Struthio camelus: one gene and its partner. The protein of the gene in region 2 purifies or fractionates together with the protein of the main gene of each other region. This does not show direct contact. Links are inferred from orthologs where the notes say so. Each region holds a gene or a part of one and is shown on either strand. Other genes may lie near its edges.

The links. Proteins that work in one complex are often made in the same cells at the same time.
Region 1: the proteins of RABGGTB (region 2) and RAP2C purify together in Homo sapiens (co-immunoprecipitation; 3 studies listed by BioGRID and IntAct, counting the BioPlex papers as one, with this or other methods). This does not show direct contact. The link is inferred for Struthio camelus from reciprocal best matches to the Homo sapiens genes RABGGTB and RAP2C.

What each region holds. Positions count from the first base shown.
Region 1 is NC_090952.1:24,215,414-24,223,029, forward strand, and holds the start of RAP2C (ras-related protein Rap-2c), read left to right. Parts: upstream 1-4,556; 5' UTR 4,557-4,689; intron 4,690-4,781; 5' UTR 4,782-4,918; coding exon 4,919-5,191; intron 5,192-6,916; coding exon 6,917-7,195; 3' UTR 7,196-7,236; intron 7,237-7,616. UniProt on the Homo sapiens protein: Small GTP-binding protein which cycles between a GDP-bound inactive and a GTP-bound active form. May play a role in cytoskeletal rearrangements and regulate cell spreading through activation of the effector TNIK.
Region 2 is NC_090949.1:39,135,496-39,142,656, reverse strand, and holds the start of RABGGTB (geranylgeranyl transferase type-2 subunit beta), read right to left. Parts: upstream 3,092-7,161; 5' UTR 3,005-3,091; coding exon 3,002-3,004; intron 2,337-3,001; coding exon 2,229-2,336; intron 2,062-2,228; exon of another isoform or gene 1,979-2,061; intron 1,098-1,978; coding exon 900-1,097; intron 1-899. Other genes in the region: ACADM (medium-chain specific acyl-CoA dehydrogenase, mitochondrial), read right to left, coding at 5,736-5,807. UniProt on the Homo sapiens protein: Catalyzes the transfer of a geranylgeranyl moiety from geranylgeranyl diphosphate to both cysteines of Rab proteins with the C-terminal sequence -XXCC, -XCXC and -CCXX, such as RAB1A, RAB3A, RAB5A and RAB7A.

The sequences.
Region 1 (7,616 bases), on a different chromosome or scaffold from region 2:
AGGAGCCGGTCCCTGTCCTGCAGCTTACATGCTAAATACCTTCAGGCACAATAAGTGCATTAGCAAAACCTCTGGAAGAGGTGAAGAAATGACACTAGGTCTTAACCTAGTTTTGCATACATTGACACACATTATGCGCCCAGCTAGATGGTTTTCATTGGGCAACTTAGGTGAAATCCAGGCTACCCCTTCTGGGTATCTACCCGGTCGTCTTTGCTCAGCAGTTTGCTGCAGTCATCCTGGCAGAGAAGAGTCTGTTTTATAGTTTTAACACCGTGAGTCTCATCCAGGAGCCAGTCATTAATTACAGCGCGGACAGCCCGAAAGCGGCACCGGCGGCAGCAGGGCTGAGCTCACGCAGTGGCCCGGACTGGGCCGGGGAGGCTCCGGCTGGCAGTGAGGATGGCGCAATCCCACGCTGCTGAAGTCACCCGGCCGCAGGATGCTCGGGACGCTCTCACCGGCGCCCAGGGCTCGGCCGTGCTCCCCTCTGCTCTTTCCCTGGGCTGGCTGTGCAGGGCAGCGCCCTGCTGCAGGACCTAGTGCTGGGCAGGAGCTGTCTCTCACCGTCACAAGAGGGATTGCAATTAATCCTGGCCCTCGCTCATGCCGTCTGTGCGTTCCTCCAACGCCGCTGCGCGATCCGTGTCTTTGCAGGTCAATTTAGTAGGAGCCGGCTTTATTGCTGCTGGCTGCAGGCACGGCACGCTGCGGCCGAGCAGCACCAGCAGCAGTCCAGCGCTGCCCGGGCGCATCTGGGAGGTTTGTTTCGGGGCGGCGAGCAGCAGCGTGGCTGGAGCCCTGGGCCTTTCAAGCACGCTTGGCAGGCGCCGGGGAGAGCGCGGCAGCAGAGATTAAACAAGGCCTCCAGCCTGGGATGTGCTGCACCTTGCAGGTGCCGAGACGGCTGGAGTGAGGCAGCAGCGAACGGGAGTCATCGGCACACGGTGACTCTACGTAGCTTGCTCCTGGCTTGGCTGTTTATGGAAGATGCAGCTATTCCCTCCTTGAGTTTCGAAACCTTTTACACCGCTAGGTACTGTTGTACATCCAGCTATGTGGCGACACGCAGGATGAAGGGAACGACTCGCTGCAAGGGTAATAGACAACAGGGAACACTTTGAGAGAGACCTTTTTTGGTGGGATGTAAACAGGTAAGGCCAGCCATGAAGTTGGGCGCTAAACCTCCAGGAATCTAAACTGGCATTGATTATACACTGAGGATCTGGAGGGAAAAAAAGAGTTGGTAATCCTACATTACGAACTGCACTGCCCCATCCATCCAAGAGCCAGTCGCTCTGGGTAGAGTCTGACCACATCAAAACATATTTGGTTTTCCTTGGTTCGCCCCCTCATTGTGCTCTCTGCCCCACTTTCTTTCCCTCCACCCATTGGTAACACAATGGACCAGCAGTGCCACAAAGGCAGGCACAGAATGAACCTAAGTGACCGTGTAATCTTATTATTGTAACCCTCATCCTCCCTTTCCCCTTTTCTCCCTCCTCCCCTTTGTCACTGTCACTTATTGTCATGGTTAAAATTAGACTGGAAACTCCTCTGCAAGGGACCGTATCTTTCTTTTCTTTATCCTGAGCACCTTCAATGCACTAGGTACTTTGCAACTGCTCGTGATTTATAATAAGGTTGAGGTAGGAGGCAGCCTGTTTTAATGCTCACCTCTTTACATCTTCGAGCTGATTCACCAGCCACATGAACATCTTCCATCCATGCACACATAACTCATGCCAGCAATTCACTTGACAAAACAATTTCAGAGGCAAAGGAAGGAGAGGTGTTATTCCTTACATGTAATAAAGACGAGTGACTCAAATTTGGTGTAACTTATGTAAGACTTGCTCTGACAGCTAGAAGCCCTCTCTGAGTTTTCCCCATAATGGACATAAATCCTTTTTGGAATGAAAGTGAAGAAAATAATGCCACTTACAAAAATAGCCACAAGCAGAGCCGTCTATACAGTACCTTAACTGCATCTCTGGAAGATGTTTTACCTTGACCAGGAAGCTCTCTACGGTCTGCTGGAAGCCCAGGAAGAGGCACAACACAGCCAGCAGCCTCTGCAGACTTGCAATCAAATAGGTGATACACGGAGGACAGAGGACAGGGACAAATCCCACCTATTACATATATCTGCTGAAATTCTGCAGACCGTGACAAGCAGCTATCTCGTACCCAGAAAGAAATGTGATCATGTTAGAGGGCGGCTTCTCGTAGGGCGAAGCACTTTGTGAAAACAATTAGGTTCTGAAGCGACTGAGGAACTTTGCTTTAAAAGAAAAACAGCTATTCGTTATTTTTAGTTACTTCCTGTAAACAATGGGGGAAATTCAGTGATGGGGGAAATTCAGAAAATGACAGGGGAAGTATTTTGTCTGGGAAATGCTAGGGATGGGCTGTAATATCTAATACTTTAGTTTGGCACTTTATTGAAGGTTATTTCAGCAGCTTTGCTCCTGTTCTCAATCCCTTACTGACATCTGGCGTTTGCTGACACCTCAGACCGTGTGTCAGGAGAGCGGGAACGATGATGCAGTTCAAGCCATCAAGCAACGCGGAGCCATAAAACACTAGTTTATTGTTGTAGAGAGTTACTGCTGATTCTGTAAGGCTTTTCATGCAAACAACTCTGAGCAAAAGAAAATAAAAGCAAAACGGAAAGCCTCTGTGCTGTTTACAGAACATCTGATAGTGTTAGGAAAGTACATGACAATCAAGCTATAAAATTTTGTGTCTTTTGCTGTAATTATGAAGGTCACAGGACAAAGATTGTAGGGAGAGCTATCTTTCATTAGACCAATTTATCTACAGCATGCCTTCAGGCATGTTAAATTATGATTATGTTACACCTCCTCCCTGCTAATCACTGTCTATTCCACAGGTTTAAGCCACCCGCCTCGCTCTTTCCCCTCCACACTAAGCACCTCTCCACCCCTCTCTTCCTCCCACTGTACCAATATCCAGAAAAAATCCACACTAAGCACCTCTCCACCCCTCTCTTCCTCCCACTGTACCAATATCCAGAAAAAACCAATACTTTGCTTCCTGCCTGGAGCCTCAGGGGTGAGTTTTGCTTCAGTAACAAGTGCTGAGTAAGAGCTGGCCAAAACATTCCTACAGACAACTGCGTTTCTGGAACTTATGCTGGGATTAAGAATGGTTTAGATAAAGGAAGATTCTAGTCTGAAAACAGAAATCGGGAGAAAGTTAATTCTTCACAACCTTTTATACACAAATAACTGTAAATAAGTTCCTAACATTGTCACTATTTAAAAGTCTGAAAACATGTGATGCTGTTTTTCCTCCTCTTTCATGCTGCCTTAATTTAATCTCTCTGGAAAGAGAAAGTGTGCGGGGGAGGGATGAATGGTAATAGAAAGTGATTTAAGAAATAAAGTAACATTTGCAACCCACAACTCCAGAACTAAATCATTCCTGTAAATACCCAGGTGACGCGGGAAGCCCAAAGGAGTTCCCCCCACCGGGCAGGAGCTGCCTTTGCCCTCCCAGGAGGAAGCTGACGGGACGATGAGACCTTCTGCACCAAGGCCAAGACCCAGCGCCGAGTGCCTCGGCGGGGCAGTGTCCCACGGGAGGCAGCCCGCGCCTGGCTGAGCCTCACCAGGGAGATGTCCCCTTGCTGGGCAGACGTCCCCTGACCAGGGAGACGTCCCCTGACCAGGGAGATGATCCTGCGCCAGGCCTAGGGAGATGTCCCCTCATCAGGGAGACGTCTCCTTGATGGGGAGATGTCCCCTCACCAGGGAGATGACTCCTCACAAGGCCTGGGGAGATGTCCCTTCACCAGGCCCCACGGAGACATCCCCTTGCTGGTCAAATGTCCCCTCACCAGAGAGACATCTCTTCACTGGGCCCCACGGAGACTTCCCTTGACCAGAGAGAGGTCCCTGACCAGGGAGAGGTTCCCCTCACCAGGCCCCATGGAGACATCCCCTCACCAGGGAGATGTCCCCTCACTGGCCCCACTCCTCGCACCAGGCTGCGCCACTGCGTCCCTCCCAGGCCCGGCACGAGGGGACACTCGGCCTCGGCAGGCACGCAGGAGGCTGGGACCCTGGTGGTGGCCACAGAGCCCAGGGACCACCCACCCCTCTGCCCCGGGGCCAGGCCGAGCGGCTCCCTCCGGCCTGCCCGGACGGGTGTGGAGGGGGCTGGGCAGCGGCCATGTTTGCCTTCTACCCGCCCTGCAAGGTAAGGCAACAGGAGGACGCCTCGGAGCCACACGCTAACCGGTCCCCCGGAAGAGGCAGCAAGACGCCTCGGTGCCACTCGCTAACCCGTCCCCCGGAAGAGGCAGCAAGACGCCTCGGTGCCACACGCTAACCCGCCCCCCAGAGGAAGCGGCAAGACGCCTCGGTGCCACTCGCTAACCCGTCCCCCGCGCGTGTCCCCGCCCTTCGCGGCCGGGCCCTGCTTCCGCGGGCAGTGACGCAGCACCTCCCTCCGGCCGGTGCGGCGCTATTTGGCGTCCCCCCGGCTTAGCCTCCCCCCGGCACGGCGCGGCCGCGTAGCTCCCAGCCCGGATGTGACCCGGGAAAGCGGGCGGGGAGGGGCAGGCTTCCGGGTGCCTCAGCATAACCCTACCGGGCGGGGGCGGCGGCTGCCGGGCGGTTCCCGAGGCGGAGGCGAGGCGCGATGGAGTGAGGCGGTGCGGTAAGGCGCGGAGCGGGGCGGCGGGTCAGGCCGGACCGGACCGGACCGGACCGGACCGGACCATAACGGCTATCTCTTCCCTCCCCTCTCAGGACGGCGCCGGAGCAGCTGGGCCTCGCCCTTCTCCTCAGGCGGGCCGGGGCTATGCGAGGGCCGCGCTGCCGCCTGCCCTAGGCCCGCGCCGCGGCGGCGGGCCCGGCGGGGGAGCGGCGAGCGGCAGCGGGGCCTCATGCGGGAGTACAAGGTGGTGGTGCTGGGCAGCGGCGGCGTGGGGAAGTCGGCCCTGACGGTGCAGTTCGTCACCGGCACCTTCATCGAGAAGTATGACCCCACCATCGAGGACTTCTACCGCAAGGAGATCGAGGTGGACTCGTCCCCGTCGGTGCTGGAGATCCTCGACACGGCCGGCACCGAGCAGTTCGCCTCCATGCGCGACCTCTACATCAAAAACGGCCAGGGCTTCATCCTCGTCTACAGCCTGGTCAACCAGCAGTCCTTCCAGGTAACCGCTGCCCCGGCCCCTGCCGAGCGCGGCGGCCGAGAGGAAGTTTCAGGCTTAGCTTCCCCCCACCCCCTTTCCGGAAAGACAAAAGCGAAAATGTCTCCTCAAAAAGTACTTCCACGAACCGCCTTTCCTAGTGGAAAAGTGCTTGCTCGGCAGGTACTTATCAGGGTGCCGCCGCTGTTACATCCCACGCAGTGTGGGAGAACAGTCGCCAGCTCCCACTTCCCCAATAGAAACGCTGCTGGCAATCCCCTTTTATTAAGAAATCGCTCGATATTAAAATCCAGACTTCCCTTTTTGCTGAAGAGGAGTGTTTCTTTGCTTGATCTTAGGGAGCGGGGCATGTGCTCTTCAGCTTTGACTTAAATAAGCTCTGATTTCCCCCCCCACACACACACACCCCGAAACCCCCCATATTCCAGTGTAAGCTCTATGCTTTTGCAGTGTAGGTGGTGTGCTAGAGAAGAGAAGGAGGCCGTATGTGATAACTTGTGGATCTGGATTCCTTTTGTACTATTAAAACTGTTTCAAAAAAAAAAACCCAAAACTTATCAGCCAGTAACTGGTTTAAGCTGCCCCTAGGAATGTCTTTATTTCTGAGGAATAACTGGGTTTAGCAGCCATGCATGTAATGCAGGGATTTGCAGCTTCTGCGTTGGCTTCAGTTGCTGGTTTGGGTGTATTCCAGCTGCTTGGCAAAACCTTGCACACCCCCACTGAAGCAGAATGTTTGCTTCTGCTGAAGGCTAAGCTTTATCTTAGTAGAGGCCTCAATATAGTTTCAGTGCAAGCTGAAGGCATACTTTTCTTTGGAAAACAACAGCAGTGGCATTGGGATGCTTCTCCCCTCATTTTCACTTATTTTGGAACCTGAGTGTTCCCCATTATTCAAGGAATAGGCACACCGTTAGTAATCCACCCTGTTAATATTTAATTAGTCTTGTCTGTCTGTATGTTTACTCCATAGCTGTTAGGTGTAAACCACTCTCCACAGTTCTTTTAAGCAGTGGCAACTTCAAACACTCAATTGCTTTGTCTCAAAACTATGCAAGAATCTGTAGAGGTGAGTCCTGCTGATAGTAACTTAAAACATTCAGAAGGGCAGAGGAGGCTGACTCAAACTTTAAACGGTAAACTCCTGATGTTAGTTCAGACTTGAATAAATGCATCTCTAGGTAATAAAACCTCCTTATAGCATCTAATTTGCTTACTTACATGTGACTAAATGTGTTTACAATGAATCAACTTAAGCGTTCCAGAAGCGAGAAGACTGTTCGCTAGCTTCCTCAAGCTGTAAGCCAAGCACAGACTTCCTAAATGATTGTGTAGTAATACACGTATCGCTACAAATGTTACAAATCTGCTGGCATTTAGATTTGAGACAAAATTCTCAGCAGAACAGAGATCTATCTGCCTTGAAACCAGTCGTACTGTATCTTCCTCTAGCTGAACCAAAACTTTCAGAATACAGTAGTAACTACATATATACACATTTATAAAGTATGCATTCATATAAACCGGAAATATACTTTTATTATTATTATTAAAGATGGACAGTGAACTTCCTCTGCCTGAGTTCTAGATCCACATGGATATGAATTTAAGAAATCTTCTAAAGTATTTTCAGTTGCCTGTAAGGGTTATTAAAATGCGTTTCTGTAGTGGCTGAGGCAGTTTCATGTGATTACTTATGCATACTAACCAGTCTGATTGTTTGATCAGGACATCAAGCCAATGAGGGACCAGATTGTTCGGGTGAAGAGATACGAGAAAGTTCCTCTGATCCTAGTGGGGAATAAAGTGGATCTGGAGTCGGAGAGGGAGGTCTTATCTGCAGAAGGCAGAGCTCTGGCTCAGGAATGGGGCTGTCCCTTCATGGAGACATCAGCCAAGAGCAAAACAATGGTGGATGAACTGTTTGCTGAGATCGTCAGACAAATGAACTATGCCTCCCTGCCTGAAAAACAAGATCAGTGTTGTACAACTTGCATCGTCCAGTGAGAAAAATTAAGAAAAACCTCAATCATGGCCATACAGAGCAGGTTGGTTGAACAGTCATAACTGAGGTGCATGATCATGCTGTTTAAGTAAGCAGATAAAGTGGGACAGAGAGTCTGAAATTAAGTAGTCTAACCTGGAGGTGGCTTTCCTCTGAAAGAGATGCAAGCTTGTGGATTCAGTTGCGAATGCGTACTTGAGTCAAATGGTCGTCTTGCATTACTTGGGTAGGGTTAATCAGGGAACGTTGCCTTTACCTGTAGTAACTTTACAATGCGGCAGAGTGTATGACCTCATCTGTCCCTATTTTGACTGACAGTGCTGTATTTGACCTAACCTTATCCTTAGTAATGTGTTGGGATGTTGCAGTAGGATTCACCATTGGTTGCAGTTAATATCTGAATTATTTTCAAGTTAATGGGAA
Region 2 (7,161 bases):
CTACGGGTTTCCAATCCAACACCTCAAATCCAACACCTCAAATCCAACGTGCTTTCTTCCTCAAACAGGACGTAATCATTTGTAACACCATTTAAATACTTCTTCCCTGAGATGGGATTAGGGATAAATTGTGATGAATCAAGCAATCGTTTAGAAGCATTTAAGCCTTTGGGTATTGCTTTCCACCGTGTTTTGCATAAGAATAAAAGAAAAGGAATTAAAGAAGAACCTAAGAGAAATTAAGAAGTAAGAAGGCATGAAATTACAACTGAAATGGAGAAAGTTATGAGGAAAAATAAGTTTGAGAATAATTCCTTTTCCTCTGGGGAAGACTACACACCAAACAAAATGCCCAAAAGACTGGTACTTTTTTTTTTTTTTTTTTTTACCCTCCCCCCCAGAATGTTTGAAGGATACAATATAAACTAGCTGCTGTAACATTTCTTTTATATATAGGTATACATGCACACGCACACACTGTGTGTGCACGTGTATAAAAGCAAATTTAATTATTTTTTTCTTATTCTGGTCATACAGATCTTTCAGCTCAATGTACCCTAAGAAGAATTTCGAAAATCCAAAGGCAATTGTCTAGAAACTTCCAGTAAAACATGTAGCTAAGAAACATTTCAAGACTGTTACAAAATTTAACCAGCATAGAAACAAAGTCACCATTAAATGAACATTAAAAGCACAAATTCCCACACCTCACCACTTTTTTTAGGAAATGACACAGCTAAATTCTAAAGTTTTGTTCATTAGATTTTTTTTACAGTGTACTGAAATAGTTTTTGCCATTAGTTTCTAATAGTTTAAGTACCCGGTTTGTAAATCTGCAATCATCAAAATCATTTATTTATTACAAACAGTTGTTTCCACCATTACCCTGTTCCATTTACCTGCACAGCACTGAGGGTATACAGAAGATGAGGATCATGACCTGTGCTGGCACTTATACCACCACATTCATGTTGACACGATTTGATGAATGCCAGAATTTCTTCTTTGTTCATTCGGTGCAGCTGTCCCATGAGATCCATTACCGTCAGCCCCCAGTAAACACCACTCATCCTCAAATACTCTGACATACAGTACTCCTAAATAGTACAATATTTTAGTCCTTAATCAGGTAAGCACATCATCAAGTTAGAACAATGAAAATATATTAGTTAATATCTATAAGCAGTTTCTAACATGTCAAGTATTCTCCATTGCACTAACAGCTTAGTGTTTATTAACCACTTATAAATTATATACTGTATGCATGCGTGTATATACACATACAGGTGCATGTGCACACCTATTTCTACACAGTACATTTCCTTGTATTTTCCAGTTTAAAAGTATCAAACTCAACATCAAGTGAAACACATGCAAGTAGTAAGTCACTAATTCAGTTCAGATCACCAGTTATTGTCTTGACTCCCAAACTTCTACTCAACCACCACCCCAACAGGTCTCAAAAACAACAGTGACACTTAATGAATCTTACTGCTAGTGTCAAAACTGCTGCAACCTTAAAGCTTCAGGAAGAAGTGAATTTTCATATACGATATCTTATATATACGCCCACCCCCTGAACTGATCACCTGAACTATCTGCAAAGTACGATTTTCTTCGTGCAGTACTTATAACTCCTATGTTCCAAGGACAGGAAAAACCACCTTAAGCAACAGCGCTTGAGTTCATTGGTGGCCAATAAGGATACCTGCAACATTTTTTCCCCCTCAAACATAAGCAGTTATTCACATTTTTCACCTGCCAGAACTGGAGTCCAATTGTGATTAGCTACACCTGATAACTACATAAAATGGACACTACTTGCAGTGTTTATTAAGCCTAGGAAGCAAGAAGCAGTTCTGAGGTGAGACTCAGTACAGCAGATAAAAGCATGGCATCTTATAAGAGAGCCACAGGAAAATAAACCTATACTCCTTATGCATTCTAGTGGATGAAGAGGCAAAAGTAGTTCATTTCCCAGGTCTCAGAGTAATTCTAGAGCTAAAGTGATAATCTTCAAATTTGTGCTCAGATAATACATGCCAAAACTCATCACAGACCTGGCAAAATGAAGGAAGCCATCTTCCTTTTATACTCCAATTCGGATTGAAGGGCAAGAAGGAATTCACTTGTGAGCACCTATCCAACCCCTAACTTTAAACATGCAAATAACAGTAATTACTGCTATTATTAAAGCCACAGCAGTACTGAAGCAAACTGATACCTACATAATCGTCTTTCTTTGTTCCGTAAGAAGCTATGTAGTCTGCATGTTTCTCCAAAAGCAGTGTGCTTGGGGCATCAGGTTTTATTATAACATCCTTTTGCGGCGTCCCCTTTAAAAAGTACCAACAAAATTTCAGCTGTATTGGGAACTCAAAGAGATTTTTAGTACCTAGGTTTAACTTAGCCAACACTAGTAACGATAACTGAACGGGAGAGGAGGCTTGCTGGCGGTTTTTTGCAGATTTTGAACAGAGGACAAATTTCATCTCACGTTGTCATTTCTCAGTCTGGATAAACCCTTCCCTGGCAAAGGGAACGCAACCCTTCCGTAAGGCCGCGGCCGGCGCCAACGAGCCAGCGGCAGCGGCCACGGCCCGCCGCCTCCCCCGCTCCGCCACATGCGGAGCCGCGCCGCCGACAGCGGGCGGCGCCAGCGCCGCCATGTCGCTACGGCCACCCGCCGAGCCGCGCCGGCTTCCGAGCCCAGCCCAGCCCAGCCCGCCGGGCCCCGAAGGAGCGGCCGGGCCGGGCCCCGAAGGAGCGGCCGGGCCGGGCCCCGAAGGAGCGGCCGGGCCGGGCCCCGAAGGAGCGGCCGGGCCGGACACCCGCCCCGGGCCCCGGGCCGCCCGCCGGGCCGGGCCGCGCCGGGCCGGACACCCGCCCCGGGCCCCGGGCCGCCCGCCGGGCCGGGCCGGGCCGGGCCGGACACCCGCTCCGGGCCCCGAAGGAGCGGCCGGGCCCGGCCGCCTCCCCGCCGCGCGCGGTCGCCACCCACCATCTTCGCCGTCCTCGCCGGAAAGAGCGCGCAGCGGCGGGGCGGGGCAACAAGTAGCGCCCGCCGTGGCTGCCCGCCCCCCGCCTGCCGGGCCCCGCCCCCGCGCCCCGCCCCGCCGGGCCCGGCCCCCGCGCCCCGCCCCGCCCTGGCCCCGCCCCGCCCCCCCGCCCCGCCCTGGCCCCGCCCCGCCCCGCCCCGCCCCCGCGGCGGGATCGGCGCAGCCCGGTCCCGCTCGGGCTTGCGGCAGCCCCGGGTCGTCAGGAAGCAGCGGAAGGAGCAAATTTATCGTAATTTCAACTGTGGGCTTTCTTGCATCACAACAAGCAGGACGGCCACTAAAAATAGCCTCCGCTTCCTTCTGCCACCTCACTTCTATGAAAAAGCAGGTCCAAGAATGTCGCTGCAGAACGGCAGGGGTAACCGTCCTCCTTGCTTTCAAAAAGAAAAACCTTTGCTCCCCAACTACAGCTGTTTGCTGTGATTACGCTATTAATCCTCAGCATAGACCTCTGGCACCCGTGGGGCACAGACCCCTACCGCGCTGGAACACGGTTTTGAGACTATACAAGAACATTTATGTGCAATAATTCTGACTTACACAGAGCGGTCAAAAACGAGGTCGTCTTTGAAATCCCTATCCAGGATGTTGCATTATTGATCTGCCTGCAGGTAAATAAGATGGTAATTTACATGATTATAACAGTTTATTTAAAGGATCATGTTATTGAAGAACATACTAATTCCCCAGATGGCCTACCTGAGAAATAGCATCGCAAAGCTCACACCTGATAACGCTAGTTGTACCATCCTACGCTAAATCCCGATGATGGATGAAAGAGACCACAGTGAAACAAGGAGATTCTGGTGAGAAACTGCAAATTAAGTTGTCCAAGCAGTCCAGGAAATGGGCATTCTGACAGCACAATGATCTATCCAAGCTAAAATATGTCACAGAAATTGCTCTTCTCAGCTGTTTTTGCTGCAACTTTACTTAAGTATATACTGATGGAAAGCATTAATAGGTTTAAATATACTGGATTTGGAATAAACAACATATGTAAATCATTCTTAAGGGAAAGCTACACATTTCAAGCGAAAGTGAATCGGCCTTACTGAACATTTACACTACTACACTTGCAAGTAAGCGGTTACAATCTCTGTAGTTGATATTTTGTTCCTACTGGACGGTATCTAGATCCTCACAACAGCTACACATAAAGGCAGTAGCAACGCAGACCTTCATACTGTTGAACTGGAAAGGCTGCTCAGCTGCTCTTTTAAATTACAACGGCCAGTTTCACCAGTAGTTTCTGGTATGCACAATACTCCAGTAGGAACTGCAGTGTAACTATTAACATATTTCAGATATTGAACTCACCTGAAATAAAACTGAAATGATGTCACAAGCAAAGGGAATAAAAACAACCACATCTTTCCACTTGAAAATAGGTTTTTATTAGCATTCAGCAGTGACTGCCAGAAATAACTTCTGGCCGCCTAATTTTAATGTGAAAAAACATTGTGTTGTGATAGTCTCAATTTTTGCCCTTTTCGAATTAGAACTTTTGAGGTAATATCCAAGTTTAGAAGAGAGCTATTGTACTTGAATGTATGGCATAGTTTCCTAGAGGTTATTTCACACGAGCTCAGTTAAATGAAAATGTTTTTCAAATTGAATGACGCTCTTTTTTTCCTACTGTGACACAAGTACGTAACTGTGTTTCTCAAAAAGCTGTCCTTAGCATTCAGCCATAAATAAGAAGTCTTACTTAAGGCACAAGAAAACAAGTATTTTCTTCATAAATGTAACAGATTTCTCTGAGGCACAGAGATAAAAGCATTGCACGAAAATTTCTGTCAGTGCTGGACTCAGGTGAATAATATGGTAAGTCACTGGAAAGAAGCCCTATTATACTTTATCTTTTGAAAACAAAAACTAGTTTTTGTTCATACGGACTCATGGAGGCAAGCGATATGCAGACACTCCACAAGTGGTAATTCTGCCACTGTTTCAGAAAAATAACAATTATCTGTGTTGTACTTTATGGGAATATATATTTGTTTTTGAATGGTCCAGAACTTAGTATGTATTCATTTTGAAATTCAAAAGATGTGAGTTTTGAAAACCCCCAAAACCGCTGTGTTAGAATATTTATTACAGCATGTGATGACCTGGACACAATATGCTACAAAGTGTGATCCCTGAAGAATCAGAATAGCTTTTTAAAGTAGTTGTGTTCCTGAGAGTTATTAATTTGATATCCACCTGAACTCCAATGACAAAGCTATAATTTATCTCAGTAGAAGCAAATCTGTGTCATTATAAATAATATAGAAGTTCCTAAAATCAAATTACTTGTTACATGTGGAATGGCTTCCCAGGCAATAAACATATTTCTGAATTCTGTTCACTTTTTTAATGTAAATTTTACAGGGAAGGTTTTTACCTCTTCCCCCACCGAAAGCCAAAGGCTTGAATGAAAAAGCCTAAGTGGGGAAAGACAAAAGACAAACAATCACTTTGGAATTCAGACATGTTTGGAAAATGCCAACTTTGTTAGGGAGAGAGTGGGGGATACTAAATTAGTGCTTAACAACGTACAAAAGAGTACGATTTTGAAGGAAAATTATTTTTTCCCACACCTTTTTAATTGTATTGAGAAATGCATTAAAATTGTCTTCTTCTGAGAACACAGAACGTGACAGCGGGGCCACACACACTCTATACCTTTCTTTAAACCTTAAATTTGCCAACATGTTCACGAGCTATGATCATCCTTTGAATCTGAGAAGTTCCCTCGTAAATCTGCAATGAAGAATTGCAATGACGTTAGCTGATCGGTTTTTAAAAGCTTTTAATAGACCTTTCTACGCTTTTTAAACCTTCATAGGGTTAATCCCACGTGGATTAGAATGTGCAGAAAAACAGAAAATTGAAAACAATTGCGATGTGACAGAGTAGCTATAGTGGGCTAAATGAAATCAATCCCATACAACATATTGAGAGATAGTCATGTTCTCTCAGATGCTCTCAACCAAAACTCAATGAAGTTCCTAGGAAAAGAAACGGGCATAGTGGGTGAAGAAGAACAGGGAGAAACATCTTATGTGGGGAGGAAAATACATCATCCAGGCTTGACAAAGTAGGGTTTAAAACAAGGGGAGGAGGGGAGGAGGTGACTTGTGCTGAAAGAGCTGTACTTACAATTTCTTTGACAAGCCTTGCAAGGTCGTACCAAATGTTCCCTTTCGTCTATTTATTCCTACTAGTTCTTGTTAACTAGTACTCTCTCCAGTATTGTATTCCTAGTCTTTTTTTTTTTTAAGCTGTTTTATGAAGCTGTAACGCAGAAGGACCTTGATCTCCATATGCTCTCAGGTATATAAAAGCTCTAGGGTTATTGCATGGTAATCTGAGAGCAGAGGCAGCATAGCTGAGGGGTTAAAGTCCTTGAGTTCCCAGTTCTGCCAAAACTTGGTTTGGCAAGTTGCTAAAATTCATGCAAATTCAGTTTCTCCAATCATAAAATATGCATAATCTTCCCAAGATTATTTTCCCACCTTACAAAACTTGTTGAAATGAAGGGTGCTATAAACTATGGTCACATTAGCTTCTTGGTTCAAAGGAATTTGGTTCATTCTCAAAGTGAATTCTCCGACTGTTGCTACATACCGGTTATTTATCCAGTTCGTAGAGCAGATTTTGTTGTGTGCATTCCAGGTGCCTTTTAGAGCAAACTGAACTGGAAGCTCTGCTCTATACATACCAAACACTCTCCACCTCCTAATACAGACACAAGGGTCCCAGCCTACAATTGCAGTCACATGTGTTGTGGGGACATTCAGTCCAGGGGACCAGACAGGCCCACATTGAACTAAACCTCCCCAAACTGCATATAGTGTAGTTGCAGGGGCTTAAGTACCTACTGCTGCAATCTACCAATCTGCTCCTATGGCACTAAATTACTTGCTAATGAAGACAGCCATGGAACTCAAATGCAAAGACATCAAAACTCAACATTTCGTTAGATAATTGCTAGAAAGGCTTTAGTTTAAAACCCTGTGGAAATAGTTTGAAGATTCACTGACCAAAAAGAAAAAGGGGGCCAGTTTTCCAAGTTTGAGAAAGGAAATTAAGTTAGAGTTTCTGTCACAGTAGC